Lonchura striata: one gene and its partners. The protein of the gene in region 3 purifies or fractionates together with the protein of the main gene of each other region. This does not show direct contact. Links are inferred from orthologs where the notes say so. Each region holds a gene or a part of one and is shown on either strand. Other genes may lie near its edges.

Region 1 (7,339 bases), on a different chromosome or scaffold from region 3:
TAATTGGCTTGTTTGCCTGTTTGTTCCTTTGGTATCTGATAGCACAGTCTGCAGGTAAAGTCTAGCTGAGCCTTAAAAAAAGGATATATAAATATCAGAGATTCATTCACAGCCACTTCCCCACTCATACATCCCGTAGCTGCATATTCCTTCATCTATTTCAGCTCCTAATGACTGCAAGGAAGAGGTTGAGAGTCAACCTAAATTGGTTCAGCTTTTACTCTTCACAGGGCACAAACTTTAATTTCAACTACTCTTTACATAATTTAAATAATACACACGGTGCTCTCTTTATTTGATTCTCAAACCAGCTGTATCTCAAGCACAATGGGACATGTCACCGACACTTGCTTTGCTGCCCTCATAATATGGTTTAATTATGATGACTGAACTAACAGGCTCACATCATAGACTTTTACAGGTTGACCCTGTGTCATCCTGATGTATCATTTTGCACCAGTTCAGTGCTGTAAATCAATTTAAGATCTCCAGCAGGTTGAAAAGGCTGGTAATGATGCTTTCTCTGCAGTCTCTGGGGACTCCACATTATACACAACTTACATTATTTATAAAGCTGAGATGATGCCTCCATTAGGCCTGTAAGACTACTCAAATGATATTTTACGCACACAGCTTGGGCTGCACAGAGCAGAATACTGGCAATATGTAATATCCAGTGCATTCATGCTTTAATTTAAAGAAAAATAACCAAAACAGTCATAACCCCTTCATTTTTAAAATTTAAATCTTTATAGCAAGCAAAGAAATTAACAGTTTAATCTGAATAATTTTCTAGTACTCAGAAACACAAGTAGCACTTTTATTAACCTTTGTATTGTTTTTCTTCATGTTCACCTATTCTGTTTTCAAACTACAGAGGAAAAACAAACACCAAACTCATCAGTTTCAAATAGTTGATTTGATAGTTACTATTTATATGAAAACAGAAAGATCTCCATCTGTTTACTCAGTCACTTGTCTCAAATGTATCAGATCATCACATCTTCAAGGGTACACAAAAAAGCAAGTTGAACAGAACAGAATAGGAAAAAAATGTATTTGATTACATACCCAATGGTAATGGGGTCAAAACAGATGCAAGGACAAATCCCTACCCTTAGGGTAACCTGATCAGCCTTGAACTGATCATTTCTCATAGCTGTGGAAGGCTTCTGGATCACCCAAATCAAGGGAAATTTCTCTCAAGTGCCTACTTACAGTCTGAAGTAAATTGCAAGACTTCAGCCCTAAGACCACAGCAAGGACTCCCAAAAGGGCCAGATCACTCTCATTTTCATACTGATGTTCTTTCAGTCATAACAGAGAAGTAAGCACCCAAACCCTGCACTAAAATCCAATGGGAACCTTGAAAAACCTTCATAGCACTGCTCTCTGGTTTAAGGGGGAAATTAAATACTAATCAGCTGCAACTAAAAACTCACGTCCCATAATTCAGCCAAATCATTACTCACAAGTAAAAGAAAAAAATAAGCCAAACTTATGTTCCCTCACATGATTTGCTCCTATTGTTTGACATGACAAGGTGCATACAGTCAGCCACATGAAGAATTACAGACACACACCTGCAAAGAAAAGTGTTCTCTGTGGGCTGGGTAAGCTACTGTTTTTAATCTTACTCCTGAATGCTGCTTGAAAATACATATAATTATTGGAAGAAAAAATTTTAAACAAGTTTTTTTTTCTGACTTCCCCTCTGTGTGCAAAACAGATTCAAACTATCAGCTATGACCGCTCTTTCCTAAGAAGCATGTTAGTTTTAAGGTGCAATATCTTTGAACACTGACATCCATTAAACACTGACATGTTTCAGGCAATGATCTTTTCCATTTGCCTGTATCTGAAATACACATTTACTTTTACTCCTCCCCATCTGGCTCTAACAATACAGTTTTCATTAAGCTCTGTTGAAAATACTTCCCCAAATAAAACTGTAGACACGCAGTGAGCATCATGTTATCCTAAAGTACACCAAAAAAATGATTAATTTTCAGAATAAGCTGTTGTTATCCAGATACTGTAAAAGCAAACTGTAAGGTCGGACTGTGTACCTTCTTCAGATTGATCTTCTAACAAAAGAGCAATCACAGCAACCCTGCCTCGGTCAGAACTCTCTCTGACTTCAGTTTATATTAAAAAAAAAAAAAAAAAAAGTCAGTATTTGGCCCAGATCATTTTGAACGCATGACTGAATATTTCCATGCCAGTAAATTTTAATAAGCTTTAAAGATCTATATTCAGGATAAGATTATTTGGCTGTACAAGTATATGAAGCAACTATACTGAAGAGGGGGAAAATCTCAAGCATCCAAACCCTCTAACAGGGAAAAGAAAAAAAAAAAGTGAACTTTCCTTGACCTCTAAGCGCAGATTTGTCATTAAAGAAGAAAGAAGGGGACGGGAGGGAAAAAAAAGCAGGAGGGGAAGGGGCTGCGGAAAGAAAGGAAGGGAGAAAAAAGAAGAAAGAAGATAAATTAGAGGGAGAGGGACGCGGCCGGGCCGCGGCGGGAGGCGAAGGGCTGCTCCCGCACACACAAAGGCGGCCCCTGCCCCGGCTCCGCCGCGTCCCCGCGATGGGGCCGGGGCCGGGGCCGGGGAGGAGCCGCAGGACGGCGCTTCCCGGCAGGGAAGGGCTCTGCCGCCCGCCGGGCCCGGCGCGGCACCTACCCACCAACTCGGAGCCGGGAGCGGTCCCCGCCGGGCCGCCATCATGCCGGGAGGCGAGCGGGAGCACCGCTGCCCGGAGCCGCTCCCGCCGCGCCGCACGGCCCCGCCGCCGGGAACACCACCGCAAGGACCGCGGAGGAGGAGGAGGAGGAGGGGAGGATGCGCGGGCACAGCCGCCCGGCCTCGGGGACAGTGAGCGGGGAGAGGTGCGGGGGAACGCGAAGTTGTTACCGGCTGGCGGGCGGTGACGGGCGGCCAGCAGGCAGCTCCTCCGCGCCGGAATCGGGATCGGGATCGGGATGGATGTGGCCCGGCCGGCGTCAGGCGGCCGGAGCCGCCCCGCGCCGCTCACCGGCACACTCACACACACACTCGCATACACACACGCACCGGCCCGGCCAGGGATCCTCCCCAAATTCCCGCCCCCGCCGCCGCGCCGCCGGGTCCCGCTGGGAGCGCTGCGCCCGCCGCCGGAGAGCGGCCGCGGCACGGCACGGCACGGCCCCGCACGGCACGGCACGGCACGGCCGCTGTGTGCCCTAGCCCGACCCTCGCCCCGGCTGTGAGCCCCCTCCGACACCGTCACTGGGGCTTAGGAGGCGTTTCTGCCCCGCCGGAGCGGCCGGGGAGCTCCGGCAGCGGGGCTTCGGGGACAGCGGAGGATGCTGTCGGACTTGGAGTTAAAGTCCATTCCTGACGGAACAGGATTATGTCCTGCCGCTTGCTACAGGTGATTCAGGCTTGACTTGGTCTAGTCTTAATACTGAAATAATTGCTGTAATACCTCCCAATGACAGAGCACTCTCTAACCCCAGGTGTTTTACACGTGGACATTCTCCTGCCCGTAGGTATTGCTGCACTTAGTCCTCATTCATGCGAGTAAAGCTATTACAGTGCTGGAGGCTTCTTGTGCAGTCAGAGCCACAGTAATGAAGCCTCAAGTCGCTGTCCCTGGGACTTGAAGTCCATTTGGATCTGCAAGTGTCGGCTCCAAAGTGGAACTGACTGAAAGTTTGGAGCTCACATGTGGAATGGCAAGCCTCTCCTGCCCGCTCACAGGATCTTTACAGTAGTCAGGTAAGTGTTGCGCAAGCAAGATTGAACTGAAACTGATTCTTTGGCTTTTACCCAGTCATCGTTCCTGGAAGGAGATTTCAAGCAACAAGTGCAAGATGTTCCTACGTGGCAAAATATTCTGATATGCCTATACACATAATTGTACCCCTAGACTTAGGCCAGTAAATTTTGACATGTATAGACAGTTCTGGTATGACTTTAAACTAATTTTAAAGTCCAGGAACACTGAGGCCTGGAGGACTTAAGGCCCTGAGAGTTTTACCAGATGAACAGTTGTCCTGCCCACCCAAGTGCATTGTGAGTCTGAAGACACAGAAGTGGAATGGCTTGCCCAAGATCACAGAAGGAGCACAACAGCAGCAGTAAAAAATACCCAGGTCTATGCCTGTGAAGGTATCAGCGCTTCTTTCTAACTTCATAATCTAAAATTCATCCATTTCATTGCCACATATGCCACATAAATACCACATATATTGCAAACAGGTGAATTGTACAATTTTGTTAGGGATTATGCTACAATAATAGTAGAGGAACTCCCACACAGGATGATGCCATAATATTGATGGGGAAAGCCTGGAATAAAATTACTCTTTTACTGCTTAAATTTTGAACCTTGAATGATTCAAGATGAGTGAACTTTGGTAATCAGCTTTAATGTGTATTTTGTGCTTGCACTGTACACAACTACACTTAGCAAGTAAACTTCTTTCTATGTGCAATCACAGATATAGTGCAGCACTGGACTGCAAATACAACTGGTGGAGTTTATCTCAAGACAAACTGAATGGTCTTTAAAGTTTGGCAGTGTAATGAAGGCATTTGCGAGTAAAGTACAGGAGAAACATGAAACTGATATCTGGTTTTTGTACTGTGGTAGTGTCCTGGATCAAGAGTAGTGGATGCAGCAGTAGTACCTGCCCAAGAGCTTGGCAGTCTCAGTGATCCAGTCTCACACAGAGAAAAACATGGAAAAGGCCTTTCATGTGCTTGAGCTCTGCTGTAATGTGCTCTGCAGGCTGACTTCGTGGGCACAAGCTCCATCCACTGGATCCTGGTTGCTGAAGTATCAATTCATGATTCACACTAAACAGATATGACAAGGAGATAATTAGGGAAGCACTGCAGTTTGTCAGGTGTCTTGTTAGAACCACATTTTTACTGCTTTTGTTGTTGTTGTTAGGGTTGACCGGTTGGTTGGCTTTGGCATGAGAGAATTAAATTATTTTCTACTTACATTGAGGCTTGGGGAGGATCACATTAATATGCTGCTTTCCTTAAAAAAGGCTATGAAACAGCCTAGGAGAGTCTTTCTCTGATGTTTAATAACCAGAGTGGTTGTCCTGGAGGGGGCTGGGTAGCCTGGCTTCAGACAGAGCAGTGGTGTGAGAAGACCAGGGGAAAAGGCAGAAACAGTGTGCCCTGGTCAGATCTTCCTCAAGGCTTCCCTGCCTGGGCTGTTCTGGCACACTAGCCAGAATAAAACTTCAAGTCTGCCCCCTGCTTTAGGATGTGCAGGTGGAGCTGACTGTCCAAACCCATTACTCTGTGGGTGAGCAGCATCAGCAGTGTCTTACTGCACACTCACCACTTCTAAATCCACTGGCTAATTTAATACCCTGAATCATTAACTTCTTCCTGCCTTTTCTGAATAACATTAGAAAACTGAAAAAAGGAAATCAGAGAGGTATGTACACCTGGGTATCAACCTTGATGCTCCTCTGCACTGGGCTGAATAACTGTGCTATCTCAAGAGGCAACAGAGAATAGGTTTTTTCTCTTTTTGCTCTGCAGCTACATGATCATTCAGACTAGTGCAAGGAAAATAGGCCGTGAGGCTGGGGCAATGAAGAAAGAGAAGAACCATTCCGTCTGTAAACTGCCTGTCTTTTCATCAGATTAGGTGCACAATCTGATGGCACCATCAGTCATAAGGCCTGTGGACCTGAATTTTAATGGAGTAGGGGCACTTACACAGATAAATGTCTATTATGATTCTCAAAGGAAACTTTAATCTCACAGACACTTTCTAGCATCTCACCAAGCACCTGCCCAATCAGCTTTAAAATCTGTGTCTCGGAAACTGATTATCAGAAGGCTGAGTTCTAAAAGACATTCATTATGCTGCATATTTTAGACTATTCTATTATGTAACAAGCATTTAAGAAATACTACTACTACTACTAATACTGTGGCTACAACAACTATTGGCTTTTGATCTTCCTCCAAAATCCAATTTTGTATGTAGGTTATGATTTGGTATTTCTTGTTAACTTCAGCCAGGCTTCATCTGGCTTAATCAAGAAGTTCCAGGGATAGTGACTGTCTTCTGGAGACAGTTTAGCTCCAAAGTCAGTAACTTTGCTTTACCTTCATGTACACTAGGTTTCTGCCAGAAATTAGGAGTTTCATGGATAATTAAATAATTAAATTATATCAAACAGACAACTTATTATTTACATTAAAATCACTGGAGTAATTTTCTTTTCAGCCATTACACTTTTTGTTGCCTAGTGTGGGAAAATACCAACAATATTTTCAGAGAGAAGAGGCAGCTCTCTCAAGAAGAATAATAGCTTCCTAAGGATACTGGATTTCATTATTTCCTTCTTTCTTGGGCTGGGTGACAAAATGTATCACCCTCTATCCTTCATGGCTTCTCTGCTTTGTCTTTGAGTAGGCGAGGTATTAAACAAGACTCCTACCTCAGCATTATTAACATAGGATATGCAGACGGCTTAGCAACTGCATAGATCTATTTGGGAACAGTGCCTCAGGCAGAAGACAGCATGTGAGAGAAGGTAAGGAGCATTTTTAGGAGGTCATCATAACTGTGCAGCACTGCATATGGTTTTCCAAGTCCATCTGGATACAAGGTCCTGTATAGCCACAGTACAAGCCCAGGAAATAAGGAACTAAGTTGTAAAAGGCCTTGAAGGCAACACTTGAGGGCTCTCTGTAGTCTTGCTCTGGGAGTCTGGCCATTTTCTAGAATGAGCCCTGCATGAGTTTGACTCTATAGAGAGTCAAATACCTGCTTGGGACCTGCCTTAGTATTGTGACTCACTGTCATAGGCAAAAGAACAAAGAATTCATTTCACTCTCAGAAGTTCTTCCTAAACTGGCCCACTATGATTAAGTGGGATTCATATAGAATAAATGTGGAACTTGATAATTTTACAAGGTTATTATGTGTATACCTCTGTTATATTAAATAAGGCTTCTGCCATAAATCTATCTGCAGATACCAGAAAGGTTTTTGATCAGATTGAGTAGTCATTCATCTTTTCCACCCATTGGGATGATGGGAATCAGACCTAAATTCATTACTTTCTTAAGATTAATGTGCCCAGCTAAAGCTGCCAAGATCCTTATTAAAAGTTACAATTCCAAAAGGTTTGGGTTGAAATAAAGTATTAAGCAGGGCACTCCCTTATCTCCATTATTGGTTGTTTTCTCATCAGACTCTGATGCAAGGACTTTCCTCCAGCAATGTTACTTTTCTGGTAAAGAAGGGAGATTGCCCTCTGTTCTGACAGCTCATCACGTGCATCCACGAAGGACAGCATTCCTGTTCACT
Region 2 (7,852 bases), on a different chromosome or scaffold from region 3:
TGGTGATTCACCATCAAAAGGCATGCAAGAAAGTGAAACTGATTTCCACCGTGGAGGTCACCGATATCCCACACCCGGACCTGCATCTCCTCCACCTGTTATCTTCCACCCTGGACTTCTCAAGAACTTGGTAATTCACACCTAGCAGTTCTCTACTTTAGGATTATCTGTTTAGGAGATTTTAGGAGATGGCAGCACACAGACACAGGCTGCCCAACAGACATCTCCTCCCAAGGGAATACAAGCTTTTCATGCCATACGTGTGCTTCCTTCCATGCCTCCATCCTGCTGAGCAAATGACAAATTCTTCTGGTGTTCTAAGCCAATTTTCCAAAATGCTTTCTCTAATCTGTCTCCTTTCTAAAGCTAAGTCCTGAAACAACACAAACGAAAAAAAAGCAGAGTGGCAAAGTTAAAATTGTGAAGATTTAAAGATATTTTTCCCTAAGTTTAGACCATCAAGGGCACAGCTTAATATCAACACTGGGAATCTGTCAGATGCACATGCCATCCATGGACGGAGGGAAAAAGCAGAGAATCCTGGAAAGCAGCATCTTCCACATTTCACTTTACCCAGAATATCTGCAGTCACTAAAACTTACTCTAACTGGGTGGCATTTTACATTTCCAAATGTAATTGAGTGAGCGTGTTGCCATGGCGACAGTAGGGTTCTGCAATAACTTTGTTGCCTTGTAATTGCTGTATATTTGTATACAAGCAGCTGAGCTTTCCTAAATTCAATGCCCTCAACTCTTCCAGCGAGGCTGCAGAGCGTCGGCAGCAGCTTTTTAGGCTGAGAACTCCTAACAGTGGTGCTGGAAAGATCAGAAATTATTAAAACTCAGCGCCGCGACCGACCGCGTTACACACACACACACAAGAAAAAAAAAGAAAAAAAAACCACCAGGAAACCCGGCCAAGAACCAGATTATTATATAAACTTCAGAGCTCCTTAGCTTTTAAAAATGTTGCCGTTGCAACAACAACAACAAGAAAAAAAGCACAATTCAGATAATTAACTCCAGGTAGATTTGGCAACAAGCAAAGCACTTTGAGGGCAGGGAATAAATGCGGCATGAGTCCCATTTATTGACAGGGCATAATAGCAGTAAATCAAAACGCACTGGCCAGGGGATTATTCACTCTCTGTAGCTCCCGGGGCCAAAATAACGCTTGCTCCATCTCCGCGGCCTCAGACCAGCGCTCTGAGGACAAGGTGATGCGGCTGGGGAAACGAGCACCGCACCGAGCTGCCTGGTGGGAAAGAAGCGGCAAGCCGGGAGAGAGCCAATGCCTCGCTGCACGCCCCATCCCAGGGTTTTACAAGGCATTTTCACACCCTGAATCCACCCACACCTTCCCGGCACAGATCCCCACTCCTTGGGAGCATTTTCAGAGCTGTAATCCAGCCCGGAATATGAAGCAAGGCTTGAACACGAAATCCTCCCGTACGGGCGTTAGCGGCGACGAGTCTGATTTATGCAAATCAGCCAAAACAGTCTATTGACAGGCAAAAAAACCACCAAAACCAGCACCTTCCCCTGCGGAGTGGGCGCACAACACAATTACGCAAGTGCTTTGAGCGAAGGGCAGGTTGCCTTCCCGTCCAGCCGCTGCCCAGCGCCGAGCACTGACAGTCAAATTATTGTTATGTAAATCCATCTGCTCCGCCGAGCCGTCACAAACACCCCCGAGAGCACATCTGGGGCAGGCAGCGGGCAATATTTTGGGGGAGCGCCGGGATCGCGCAGCATCTTCCCCTGATAAATCCCTGCAGCAAAACCCACACGCGGCTGCTGGGCAACACCTCCCTCTCTCCGCGATCCTCCGCCACCCCAAAGCTCGGCTTTTTCTGCTTCATTTCGCCCCATGCAAGCCGAGGCTTGAGGTTTCGCAGCGGCACACGTGCTTTATCCCCCCTCGAACCCCCAAAACCGGAGTTGTGGCGGCGAGGCTACAGCCCTGGGCCTCGGACCTGTGATTGCCATCGCCGGGCTCTCTGAGAACGCCGCGCTGCCGAGGGCAGCACCCCCTGTTTGCTCCTCCCGGGCACAAAAAAAAAGCCATTTTGGGGCATTTTCTCCAGGAGGAGGTGAGTGCCGCGGGGCCCGAGCCCGACAGCCCCGGGGAGCGGGGTGAGAGGACGCAAACTTTCTCCAAGTCCCGCGTTATTCCCACGACAAGGACAAGGGAAGGAGGCCCGGGAGGAGAGGATGGAAGGACCGATCCCGGGCCGCGGCCCGCCCGTTGCCCCAGGGCCGAGCCGCGGGCGTCGCCCCCTCCGCAGGGCCGCGCCCGCCCCGCCAAGCCGCGGCGCCAGGCCCCCGTACGGCGCTGCCCGCAGCCCGCCGCTCGCTCGCCTCGCCGGTCACTCACCGCTGCCCGCATCGCCTCGACTCGCCCCGCACGGACCGAGCGCCGCCGCCGCCGCCGCCGCCGCCGGGGGGGACGAGGCGGAGCCGCGGCCGCCCGGGAGGGGCGGGGCGAGCGCGCGGGGGGCGGGGCTGCAGGCGGCGGCGGCCCCGCCCCCCCATTCACAAAAAACCGGGCCCCGCGCGCTGAGTGGGCGGCGGCGCTGCCCGTCACGCCCCCCGCGCCCCGCCCGGGCCGGGCCGATGGCGCGCGGGGTCCCCGCCCCGCCCGGCGTGCCGCCCAATCAGCGCGCGGCCTGGGGCGCTGCGCGGCTCAAATCCGCCCGCCACCACCGCGCGGGTGCCTGCGATTGGCCGCGCCAGCTGCCCGTCACCTCCCCCTCCCGCGGCCGCGGCGCGGCGGCGACCAGCGGCCCCCGGGAGCGGCCCCGCCGCGCCGCGAGCCCGCCGGGCGGGGAGGCGATCGGCCTTAAAGGGCCGGCGCCGCGGGCAGCCCGGGCGCGGGGGCGGCGCGGCTCGGCGGCGGCGGAGCGGCGCGTACTGACCTGGGCGGCGGGCGAGGCGGGGACGCTGCGCGGCGATGGCCCCCCCGGCGCGGAGCGCGCCACCGACGGACTCAGCCCGTGACGGGTTCCGCCATCTTGGAAATCTTTTTAGATGGAGGAGTCACGTGGTGCGACCATTTTTCCCCCGCAGCCAATCGGCGGGCGCGGGCTATTTATAGCCGCGCGGGGGGAAGGGGACCAATCGGGCCCCGCCCCGTGCGCCCCCGGTCACGCCCCGTGGCGCGCGGCCCGTCGCCATGGCGACCGGGGGCGGGGCAGGGCCGCCATGTTGGCACAGAGCCCGCGGGGATCGGGGGTCGGGACCGCAGGACCGGCGTCTCCAGCCCCCACCTGCGATCCACGCCGTAGAGACCACAGTGTGATAAAACGTGGAACTCTGGGGTTTTTTACCCCCCGATTTTCTGCACCCACGGTCCCGCTCCCTCATGGGCCGTCCTGTGTTTTCCGTCAGGTGTCGCCTGTAACAGCAAACAGCTGAAGCGAGGGGTAAACGACAGAAAGGACAGGGCACGGTTCAACATATTTGCTTGAATTACCGAGAGGAAATTTAAAAATGAAAATAAAAAGGAGTTCTCCGGTAATGTTTCCCTCTACCCCCGTTTTCGCAGCAATTTACTGATTTTTGAGTTGTACGTGGAATTACCCATTGAACTGACACATCTCGTTTCACTCGTATTTTCTTGATTTATGCAGTGCCCAAAACTTCCCAAGTCGTGCTCCCAAACATTCCGGACGATGGGAAGGAAAACACTGCAGTATTGGGTGCAAGAAGTTCATCCTGTGGGACACAATCCAGTGGGAACATCCCACCGGCGATGTATCATTCCATTACTTCTGTTTCCCAGAGAAGCTGTGGCTGCCCCTACATCCCTGCAAGTGTCCAAGGCCAGGCTGGACAGAGCTTGGAGCACCCTGGGATAGTGGAAAGGAGATTTCCTGCTAAGCTTCCAAGGAATTTCTTCCCATCCTTGCCTAAGGCAAGCTGAAACATGACATTCCTTACTCACAGGCAGCCATCCCAGCACGCTTCTGGTGGGTTTGATTAATTGGCTCTCGCTAAATTGTTTTTTAAAACTTCCAGATTTCCCTTATAGCAAAAAAAAAAAAAAAAAAAAAAAAAAAAAATTTAAAAAAATAGGAACTCCTGTCATTCAGCCATCTGGATTTACATAAATTTTGGGACTTGATGGGAATTGCTAACAACTTTGTCCGTCTCTCAAATCTGCATATACATGGTAGTATATAAACACTGCTCCTTTTCTCTTTTACCTTTTCGGAGATATTTACCACCTCTGATTTCATTTGAAAGGGCCACCCTTACAAAAACCCTTGGCATATTGATCCAGCCATTAAAGTTTCGGGATTTTTTTCCACGTTGTCCACAGGCTCCAGGAAATGGTGACATTTCCGTGGAATACACACCTGAGAGCACCACTGGCATTAAGAACACCACTTCTGCCTGAAGCTGAAGCCCTTTTTGTTTCATTTGCAGCTTCTTTAGGCTCGTGGGCTTGTTTGTTGTTCTTTGGTTGGTGAGGTTTCACAGAGTTGCTCTGCCCTCTTTATTTGGGGCCAGCTGTGCGCTCGGACGGATAAGGGAACGTGTGTATAAATAACCTCCCAAATTATGTTTGAGTGCCAAGAGACCTGTGGGTGGAAGGCCTTCAGGGCCAGAAGGTTACCAAAGCAGGGCAATATTTGCCAAGGCAACAGGTGTGCTGCTCATGGCTGGTGCAGGGCACGGCTGTGGCAGCCAGGTGAGTGTCTGCCCTCCCCTGCAGTCCCCATTTCTGCTCCAGCCAGGGGGAGAATTGGTCCCAAATCCTTAAAACGTGGGTTACAAGCAGCCCAGCTGCCTTTCCTCGCTGCACTGCTAGAGCAGTTTGGAAACAGGAAACAAAAGGAGAGAACTGTGCCCTGGAAGTTGCCACGAAGTGTAAGTTCTACCTTCAGGTTTTGATTGATGCTGTACCTGTGGCTGTGGGTGTGAGTATGTGTCTCTATTAATACCCAGTCTAGGCTAACCTATGCATAATGGCAGAAAATTAAACCTTTGTCGTTGTGCATGGAAATTAGACCTCAGATTCACAAGGGAAAGGCTTCTTGCTATATGTTCAATCCAACATATTGGCTATAGCTGTATATAGTCTGTTTTTGCTGTATTTGCAGCTGAAAAACTTACTCAGAGGCCTGTTGAAGCAAAAAATAAAAATCTAAAATAAAAACCAACACCCTGGCAGAGCTAATTCATAAAGATTTAAATAAAAAGCAATTACAGAACTTCACGCCTACCTCCACCTCATCTTTAGCTGAACTCCTTGTTTGTCAGGAATGATTCCATTTCTTATGTTCTCAAGCAGGAAACAGCCATCACAACACTCCAGCTAATTTCCCTCGCTAGTCACACGGAGCTGGTGAAAGGAAAAGAGAGTGCTTCAGTTTTCCACTCCACAGCCTAAAAAAAAGGAGGATAGAGTTAGGAAGAGCGCCAGCAGGAGCTTCCTCTGGAGCCTAGACACCAAGTGGCAGTGACACTTGGGTCCTTGGAGAAAAGTCAAGCCTAGACACAAGTTCCAATCTGATGATGGCTCCCTCTTCTTCCTCCTGATCATTCAGTCTCCATCACTGACCTCCCTTGGTTTTCCTGTCCTACCTGTCACCTTTCTGTGCTATTTCCCACTCCCTGCTCTGTATCTGTCCCACAGTATACTGGTTTACTACTTTTTGCCATCAAAAGGAAAACCCCATCAAACCCACATAATTTACAGCACAGCTCTGATGTGACTGGGAATGTTAAATTTACGTTGCCCCTTCCTGTGTTTTCCTCCAGCATACCTTTTATTGTGGAGTTTTGTTCGGTTGTTACTGGTTTTTTAATCCTGGTGAGTTTTGCTTCAGCTGTAACTCCTTGTTCTCTCTTTGCCTCACAGCTTGCTTTGATCCAGAACAAGGTGGTTCTCCTCCAATTCGGAGCCCCCACGCCTGTGTTTGGCTGCAGGAGCTGCTTCCCAGCTTGTCTGCACACCTAACACTTCATCAAGTCTGCAGCACTCAGGGCCTGAAGAGCTGAAACCCTGAAGCAGTAAGAGCCAGACTCTTAGAAACAAATTATTGCTGTTGTTTTGGGCAAAATCAAGTCCATGTTCCCCAGCTGGGGGGAAAAACAAGCAAGTGAAGTTCAAAGTGGAGGTCACAATGTAAAGTTTGCTTTCTTCTCCATACTTACGCTTTATTTTTGCTGATGGAGATATATTGGATTGTTATGGCAGTCGTTTTACAATGTCTGAGTACAAGACACTTTTAGAATAAAAATGTTTGCCAATTTTGTTTTCAGTATTTTTCTGGATTTCTATAAGCTTCCTATTTATCTAGCAGCTATGCTCTCAACTACATTATGGAATAGCCTGACTTGGAGGGGATCCACAAAGATCATCATTCCTACTGCAGAGAGAAAAATTATTCTGTGGCCATTACAAACAACTGCCCAAAAGTTCTTATGGTGTCATCATCCCTCCAAATGAAACTGAAGAATTAAGAGTATGAAAGAAATCTCTTTTCCCCCTCAATTGTTTGGTTTTGTTTTTGTTTTTTTTTTTTTTGTTCACCCCATTTTAGTAGCACATTAAGGCTTAAATTGAGATAAAAAGCAGAAATAAGTCTAAAATTAATATGGATTCTTTGTGACATCAAGGCTAGAATAACTGATGGATACACTTTGTTTATCAGTGCTCATTTTCCAATTATTAATATTAAAAATAAAGGAAATGTGTATCAATTTATTATATTTCTTTTCATCCAGCTACTGGAAGAAAAATGTGGGGTGTGTCTCTCTGTAGTGAGAAAACCTTCAAAGAAATATTGATCCATTTTTCTATTCGGCCTCTTTCAACCAGGCAAAAAAAAAAAAAAAAAAAAAAAAAAGCATCATCCAGGGTGTGAAAAACCATTAAAATCTAAATAAATGTAAGAAAAATATGACCAGGGAAAAAAAAAAAAAGCAAAATAGAAAAATAGAAATAAAAACATTTGCAGCCTGGTCCCTGGGTGTTGGTTTTATGTGAAGAGACTGACTTGCAGCTGGATGACGAGTAGGATATTTTTCTACTGAAATATTGATAGTAGATCACACTAAACCACAAACTATCTCCAGAAAGCCCATCATTTCTAATCCTAATGGTGTTTTCTTTCCCTTGGCTGACTGCTACATTCATGAGATGATGGCTTTATTCTATCTGGGGGAAAAACTTTTTACCATACAGCTAAATTAACTTGTCAAAAGACTTCAAACTTCGGAAGCTTTTACAGCCCAATTCAAAGCTATTATTCAGGATTGAATGAGAAGGCTGTGGACTGTAAAAGCTGGCAAAAAAAAATAAAATAAAAATTTCAGCAGCATTCAGGAGTTGAATGGAGGGCTCACTTTTTGTTCAGGTTGTGTGTGTTTCATTGAGCTGTCTCAGAAAGAGTTGGATTTTGGTATTTTAAAGCAAAGTGCTTCTTTCTGCTGCTCTGGAAGCTTTGACCCAGTCCATGCTCTTTCACACACACTTGGTTATATTTAGTTTGTGCCAACCTAAATAAGTGTCAACCAGCTTTCCAGAAATGTGGGGAGCACAAAAGAGAACGACCAGCAGCTAAATTGAGGCAGAACAAGAACACAATTGGACTTATTTTTATCCTTTTCTTTTAAAATCAGATCACAAACTATCTTACAGTCAGCTACAGCTTTCTCATGCAAATAAAAATGCCTGGCTTCAGGAGCAGCAACTTTTAGATTTTGCAGACAAGGAGCAGCTGGCAGAGCTCGTGCTTGGAGTCTTTCCTGACGTGGATCCAATCTACTTTGGGACAAATCTGGAATAAAAAGCCAAGCCAACAATTGCAGCCCCCGGAAGGGAACCCAGGGCTCTCTG
Region 3 (7,691 bases):
GCTGTTCCCACACACACGAGCACTTTAGCCAAGCCTCACCCGCACACCCGTAACATCTTCAAAGCAAACCTCCATCGTTATCACCACTCACTTTACCAGGGGCTCATTTAAGCACTTTTACTGCTTCTTCCCGAACAAACGGCCATGATAACACGGCTGGCAGTCGGGAAACACAAGAAAAAGACGATGTTCTGGAACACACTGGGTGAGACTGTTTCCAAACTTTTCTGTCTTTTCAGGGATCTCCAGGTGTGTTACTTTTCACAGGAAAATGTGGGTATGTTGAGATCCCCCAGGGCCATCCCACCTCACTCTGACCCATGCCCTGCTCAGGAAGGCACTTGGGGACACCCGAGCCATTGCCCCCTCCCTACCAAAAGCCACGGGAAGGAAAACTCCAGTGGGAACACTTGGAAATATTGCTAGAGGAGGAAAAGGGCTTGCTTTAAAGCCCGCAATTATTGTTGTTATTATTGCAGGTTTTTTTCTAAAAACGTTTCCTCTCATTAGCGCGCCGTGGGGATGGAGACAGAAAATTAAAAGCAGCATCCCCAGTGCAGAGCGGGGTGGGATTTATTATGGAAATGTGCGACCCTGCCAAGGAGAGCGTCTCTGGGCATCCACTTCCTCGGCTGTCCACCAGGAGAAGTGAGGTACCCCGTGTCCCCAACTCCAGGTGCTCTGTGTCCCCCTCTCCCAGCCCCATCTCTGCCCGGGCTGTTGGGGGGCAAAGCCCCGATCCCACTCTGCCACTGCAGCCTGACCCTCGGACTCCAGCCGCCCCGCCACGCTTCAGAGCCACGCCAAATCCTCCGGTCCCACTCCCGGGAGCGGAGAGGAGAAAGGGGAACCCCCGTTTCTCGAGGTGGAGGGGTGCCACACTAAGCTCCGGCCGAGGGCTGAATCCCTCCTTCCCCAGAGAGGGAAAGCAGGTTTCTCAAAAAAAAAAAAAAAAAAAAAAAAAAAAAAAAAAAAAAAAAAAAAAAAAAAAACACCAAAACAAACAAACAAACAAACAAACAAACAAAAACCCCCAAACAAACAAACAAACAAAAAAAAACAGCCATGGAGAGAGACTATGGGGAGCAGGGGGTGTCTCCCGGGGGATGCTGAGGGGGGCACAGGGTGCCCCTGGGCTGCGGGGGGAGCACGCCAGCAGTGCCCCGCGGGGATGGAGATAACGGGATGGCTCCGGGGGTGCGGTCCGTGCAGGGGGGGCGGGCAGAACTTGGGGGGCGCCGGGGGCGCAGCAAGGGTGAGCGGGGCAGAGCTGGCACACGGCGGGCACGGGAAGCGCGGCAGGACGCGGGGCACGGCGGCCACTGCAGGACCGGGAGAGCGGGGCGAGAGGCACTGCGGGGGCTGCACTCCGAGACATCGCGGACGGGGGCACAGGAGGCACAGCAGGACCGTGACAGGATACAGAAAGCACTCCAAGACTCGAACACTTGGAGGGGAGGGCGGGAACACGGGAATCATTGCAGGATTGGGGGTCAGAGAAGCCCCCCGGGCCGCAGGGGCACAGGAGGCGGTGCAGGATGGGGGTGCACGGGGAGGCATTGCTGGGCTGGGGGCGTGAGGGGGGGGCACAGGAGGCAGCCCGAGGGCCACGGGAGACATCGCGGGGACAGGGGGTCGGGGGGACACAGAAACCCCTGCGGGCCGGCGGGGCACTGAGATGCTGCAGGAGGGGGGACAGGAGAGCACAGAAGTCCCTGCGGGCCGAGGGGCACAGAAGGCACTGAAGGACGGGGCTGGGGGGGTGGAACTGCGGGACACAGAGAAATCCCTCCGGGCCGCGGGGCACAGAAGCTCCTGCAGGACGGGAATCACCGGAGACACTGCGGGCCGGGGGGTGGGGGCACAGAAGCCCCTGCGGGAGGAAGGGCAGGGGGCGCGGGGGGAGCATCCCGGGCCGCGGCGGCTGCGGGAGGGGGTGTCTCACCTTGAACGCCACCGGGAGGGTCTTGTTGCAGCGCCAGTGCGAGGGCAGGACGGAGCAGAGGAAGTTGGGGCTGTCGGTACGGACCAGCTCGGCGGGGTGGTCAGCGATGATCTCCACCATGGTGCGGTTATCGTGGGGGCGCAGCCGGGGCACGGCGGCCGCCGCGTCCTGTTGCTGCTGCTGCTGCTGCTGCTGCTGCTGGGCTACCACCACCGGGCTGACCTCGCTCATCTTGCCGGGCTGCAGGCTGCTGGAGGGGGGGCTGAACCTCCGGCTGGTGCTGGGATCTACGGGAATACGCATCACAACAGCCACAAGTTAGCGAATTGGGGGGCGGGGGGGGGGGGAGCGGTAGGGGGATCGCTGGTAGAGGAGGCGTGTAGTGGGGGGTGGGGGTTGTAAAAAAAAAATATATATATCTAGCGAAAAAAGGGATGAATGAAAAAGTGGAGGGTGAGGATAAGGGGCAAAAAAGCAAATCAGACAAAAAACAGGGAAAAAAAGGAGCGGATTAAATGCACGAGGTAAAAAAAAGTCTCAGTCTGTTTTTGGTTTGTTTTGTTGGTTTTTTTGGGTTTTTTGTTGTTTTTTTTTTTAAAGAAAGATGGACGGGGCGAGGGGTGATGCCGGTCTGGGGGCGCAGGCAGCCTGGAGCAGCGAGGAGGCAGAGGCTGGCAGTGGGTCCGGGGCTGCCCCTCTCAGCACAGCCCGGCTGGAAACTGCATGGTCCCGGCTTCTGCCCAGCTGCAAAGCGCTGCCGCTTCTCCTCCTCCTTCCTTCCTTCCTTCTCGCACAGTCTCTCTGCTCTTTTCCCTCCTTCTAGCCACCGCTTCTTCCCTCAAGTGCTCGAGTTTCTTCCCTTTTTTCTTCCCCTCCCTTCGCGTCTTCTTTTCCTTTTCGGATTTTCCAAAAATTGTCTTGGGAGAAGTAGAACTCGCTGCTGGTTCAGCTTCCTGGGCTGCTGCTGCTGGTGGCCGCCAGAATCGTAGCGTAACTCAGCCCCGGAGAGGAGCGGAGAGGAGAGGGGGGGTTCAGGGGAACGTCCCGGTTTCCTCCGACGAAATCTTCCTCCTCCGGACTCACACACACACACACAAAAAAAAAAAAAAAAAAAAAAAAAAAAAAAAAAAAAGGAGCAAACAAAAAGCCTCGCTGGGACAGAGGCGAGGACGAGGAGCCGCTGGGCTCTCCCGCTTATTGCCTTTGGCTTCAGGAAGCGGGAGCTCGGGAAGGGGCTTGGGAAAAGTGGCTCCCCCCCTCCAAAAAAAAGGCGCTCCCGAAGCGATTTCGTCCGGGAAACAAAGTTACTGGGATTGTTGGGGTGAAGAGGAAAGTCACAGGGCTGATAATTAAAAGAGACTTTTTATCTAGTTCCTTTCGGAGGATCAGCGCTTAAGGAAAGTTAAACTTTCGGATTCCCAGGGAAAAAGAATCGGGGATCACAGCTGAGAAAAAAAACCAACCAACACAACAATAAAACACCCCTCCTTAGGCTGATTTCTAAAATATGATCAAGCAAATTCTAGGAAAAGGCAGCCTTGGTGCAGCCTGGTCCTTCACATGAAGTCGCTGCTGGATCCAAGTCCGTTGAGTTGAATAGGAGAACAAAAATCTTGGGTTTTTTTTTTCCGCCCTTGATGAACAACAGCAGCAAAAAAAAAAAAAAAAAAAAAAAAAAAAAAAAAAAATTCTTTAAAATGTCGCTTTGTTTGACTTATTTTTCTTTCTGGAGAATCGGGTTAAAAATAATAATTATTAAAAAAAAGCAACCAAAAGTTACAAACTTCTTTTGGTTCCCAAGAAGTTCAGGTCGGGGAAGATGAAGGAGCCGGAAAAAAAATAACAAACCCACGCCACAGTTTTTTTGTCCTGAATGTGGTTTTTGGAGGCTGGGATTTCTAATGATTAGGTTTTTGTGGTTTATATATACAGGACTCTCTGGCTAAGGCGATCATTATGCTGATGAGAGTCAGCAGCACGTGGTGCTTCAGTCCTCAGACTTTTGCAGCCTTCAAAATAAATAAACCAATGTGCATCCCCCCCAGGAGGAGAAACTCTCACCCACGGGGAGAGGGATGGGGAAGGGGGGGAGCAGGAGACGGTCTCCGATCTCCACTTCTCTCCGGGTTTTTTCCATTAACACTTTTGGACTTGTTTGTTTAAATTAAAAAAAAAAAAAAAAGCATTAAAAATCTTGTTATAAAAAAAAAAAAAAAAAAAAAGAAAAAAAGTAAGAATATTCTGGTGCCAAAGAGTTTTTTGCTAAGTCTCCGGTAGTCTAAAGCCTAAACCATTTCCTTGAATGAATGAAAGCTATAAAACCCCCTTCAGACTATTAAGGTAATGGGAGTCTGGTTTGTTTTTCTCCCTTAAAAAAAAAAAAAAAAAGAAAAAAAAGAAAAAAAGGGCAGATCTTATTAAAAACCATTTACATACCCAATGGTATGAAAGTGTCACCGCCTCCCCGCGCAGATAACAGCCTATCACAACCCGCCCTCTAATTTCTAAGGCTTTACTCCGACTTGCTACTTCCACCTTCTTGTAAAAAGTCGGCGCTGCGTGTGTGCTCCTTGCTCGCCGCCTGTGTGTGACTCGGGGCGCTGTGTGTGTGTCTGTCTGCGCTGTGTGTGTGTCTGTCAAGAGCCGTTCCGAGCCCGAGCCCGGCGCCCCGACCCAGCCGGGTTTGTCCCGCGGAGCTGCGGCGGAGCGGGCGGAGCTGCCCCGGCGGAGCAGCCCGCACACACCCGGGCTCGGTGTGTCCGTGTGTGCCTGCTGGTGCTGGGGGCACCTCCGGGGCTGTTTCTGCGCCCGCGGAGCCTCCGCGCCCTCCTCCTGCCGGGCGGCACCGCTGCTCCCGCGCCTTCCTGCCCCGCTGCCCCCAATTTCTGCGCCTCCGGGGCAAAGCCCTGCCGTGTCCGGGGAATGTGCGTGCGGAGGCGGCGGCGGCGGCTCCTGCCCGCTCGGCTCCGGAGCAGAGAGCAACCCGCAAGCTCCGCCGATCGGTCACAGGGGAGAGCTCTCGCTCCGCGCACCGCGGCTGCGGCTCCGCGCCCGCCGGCGCCCACCCAGCCCCGCTCCGCAGCCGTGCCCCGTCCGTCCTGCGCTCCGCTCCGCGGCTTTCCCACGCCTGCCGCGGGGAGCGGCACCCCCGACCCACTGCCTCGCAGGGACCTGTGCCCTCCGCTTGTTCATTTCCTCAACGGTTGTTCTGGTTTTTTTTTTTTTTTGTTTGTTTTTTTTTTTTTTTTGTTTTTTTAATCTTTTCCCGGCCCAAGGTTGGAAGGGCTCTGGAAGTTTTCTATCCCGTTGAGAAGACGCGATCCATGTGGGTAACGCTGCAAGCCCCTCCTGAGCTCGCCCTACTTCTCCCGCCAACCACAGGGATCTAATGTTCCCCAAAAGTGGCCACAGGCGTTTCCACAGCACAATTACTCATCACCTATACGGATTAGTATATATGCAGAAGCTCTGGCTTGCTGTGGTTGTGATACAGAAAATAACTTTGTTCATACTTATTTTGGCAAAATATTTATGTCCATAGATTCTTTTGGCTTCCTTCCCCCCTTCTTTAGCTGGCTCTAATACATTCCCAAAGAGCCATTCCAAAGGCGCTAGAAAGAAGGCAATGAGTTGTTTTATATCCAAATGCTATATAAGCCTGACAATCATGATTTATTTCGTTTCAATCAAGAAGATACCTTTCCACTTTTAATTAGTCACACTAAAAATTTTACAGTCACCTCTCTTCCTACTAAAATAAAATAAAAAGTTAATTAGGATAAACTAAAATAAGTCGTTGGAAGCTACCAGTTTAAGGTCACTTAAAATAGTCCAGAGTTATTTATAATGTCAAAATAAAATTTTCCACTGAGTGCCCTAACAAAGTTTCAGGTATCTGGCACAGCTGATTTTCAGTCTCTGTGCAAAAATATCTTTCTGCTGAATATTTACACATTTAACAGGAACTTACTACAGTCTGGAACAGATCACGGGTCAGAGTTCTAGAATTTTATTTAAATGGTTATGGACAAATTAATAAAAGTACCAGTAATATTTATGAACCTACATAAAAGCTGGATGGGATTTTTCAGCAGAAGTCATTCATGTTATGATATATATAATCTGGAACGTTGGCTTGGATTTGGCTGGAATGGAGAGCAACCCTGCTGCTCGGCTTTCCTCAGGTTTTATTTCAGAACTTCTCGGAATTTTAGCACTGGTTGCAAAATGGGTCATATTTTAAGATCTTAGAGAATTGTAGGAGGTTGGTGAAAAAATGTGCTTGCGCTGCAAGTTATATCTTAACAAACACCTCCAGATCCACTTTACAGTATTGAATTTTCATTAGTATGGCTGTGCGTGCTGCAATTTATATTGTCTTTTAGCCTTTTCACTTTTAACTGTGTTATGAATACAGCCATAATTAGACTGCTTTTGGACAAAAAGGTAATGTTTTAAAGAGAACTGAGTTTGTTTACCATCACATTTCTAGAACATAGGCCCAGTATGCTCTTGTTGTAAGTACTGGGTGCTCAAGATGAAAAATAATTATCAGATATGAAAGATTCTAACCTGGATGATGTTCCCTAAATAAATAGTTTCAATGCCAGTTTGCTGGGCTGGAATGTTCTGCAAACCCAATGAATACAGAATTTATTTTGAGCCTCTCTGTGTATGTAAATAGCTTTTGTGAAATGGGAATAAATGAATGGGTTCACTGGGTTTGTTGCTGTATTTGATATTTTTAGCCAGAGAGACTACAGCAATGTCAGCATTATTACTATAGTGAAAGAATTGCCAATATCTACCTTCCCTAAGTTTTTAATTCACTGAAATGCACACTGAAAGTGTGCATTGAGCCAAAATATGTGAACTTAAGTAAACTTAATGCTAGAGCAGGTTTTGCCTGAACTTCCATTCATTTCAGTAGGGGCAAGATAAGCTCCAGTGTCTCTTGGCAGAGCTTTACTTTCACTTTGGTTGGAAGTTGACTGTTTGCCCAGATATTCTTTGCTTTTTCTTAAGTATGACAAATAGTAACTCTAGATTAGCACGTAATTTGGCCTACTAAGTAGGCGTGTGACAATGAGTTCTGTAATAGCAGCACTCTTACTCAGACTATGGACTACTATGGTTTGTTTAACTACTGTGTCCCTGCCCCACTGATTTACAGCCCAGATAAAAGAAGATTCTTTGTGTCCTGAAATTAAATTGAAGCATTTAATATTTCAGCATAATGCACTGCTTTTTAGCATTTATAGTCCCTGATACAAACAAAAGCATGAAGATTTGATAGACAGGCTACAAAATGACCGCATTAAAAAATTAACTACATAATTTTACTTTTCCTCCTAGCATTTTCAGTAGGAAGTGGGGACTGAGAGCTAAGAGTCTTGTGTTCTGTCTCATGATCTGATGCTGAATGTTCTGGGATCTCAGACATGACTTTTAGCAAGTTTTCCTTCAGTATAGAATGAGATCTTAACTACTACCCATATATATTTTGATATAGAAAAATATGTATATATATTCTCAGAGGTCCAAAGATGAGCAGGACTCGGCATCCAGTAATACCAGGAAAAAAAATTTGGAAATCTGGTAGGAAACCTACGCTGTCCCTGCTGAAAAACTGTTGGCTTTTCCACAGCACACAGCAAAACACGGGCTGTACAAACAACAAAGTTTACTGCTTCTGTATTTTTCCTAAATCATATATTTTCTGCTTCTCTTAAGCAGGGACTGTAGG

What was found.
Region 1: the proteins of RUNX2 (region 3) and SMAD1 purify together in Homo sapiens (affinity purification with western blotting; 3 studies listed by BioGRID). This does not show direct contact. The link is inferred for Lonchura striata from reciprocal best matches to the Homo sapiens genes RUNX2 and SMAD1.
Region 2: the proteins of RUNX2 (region 3) and HDAC4 purify together in Homo sapiens (affinity purification with western blotting; 3 studies listed by BioGRID). This does not show direct contact. The link is inferred for Lonchura striata from reciprocal best matches to the Homo sapiens genes RUNX2 and HDAC4.

The regions. Positions count from the first base shown.
Region 1 is NC_134606.1:62,071,008-62,078,346, reverse strand, and holds the start of SMAD1 (mothers against decapentaplegic homolog 1), read right to left. Parts: upstream 3,067-7,339; 5' UTR 2,917-3,066; intron 1-2,916. UniProt on the Homo sapiens protein: Transcriptional modulator that plays a role in various cellular processes, including embryonic development, cell differentiation, and tissue homeostasis.
Region 2 is NC_134610.1:36,921,190-36,929,041, forward strand, and holds the start of HDAC4 (histone deacetylase 4), read right to left. Parts: upstream 3,055-7,852; 5' UTR 2,919-3,054; intron 2,473-2,918; exon of another isoform or gene 2,378-2,472; intron 1-2,377. UniProt on the Homo sapiens protein: Responsible for the deacetylation of lysine residues on the N-terminal part of the core histones (H2A, H2B, H3 and H4).
Region 3 is NC_134605.1:108,607,290-108,614,980, forward strand, and holds the start of RUNX2 (runt-related transcription factor 2), read right to left. Parts: upstream 3,067-7,691; 5' UTR 2,249-3,066; coding exon 1,946-2,248; intron 1-1,945. UniProt on the Homo sapiens protein: Transcription factor involved in osteoblastic differentiation and skeletal morphogenesis. Essential for the maturation of osteoblasts and both intramembranous and endochondral ossification.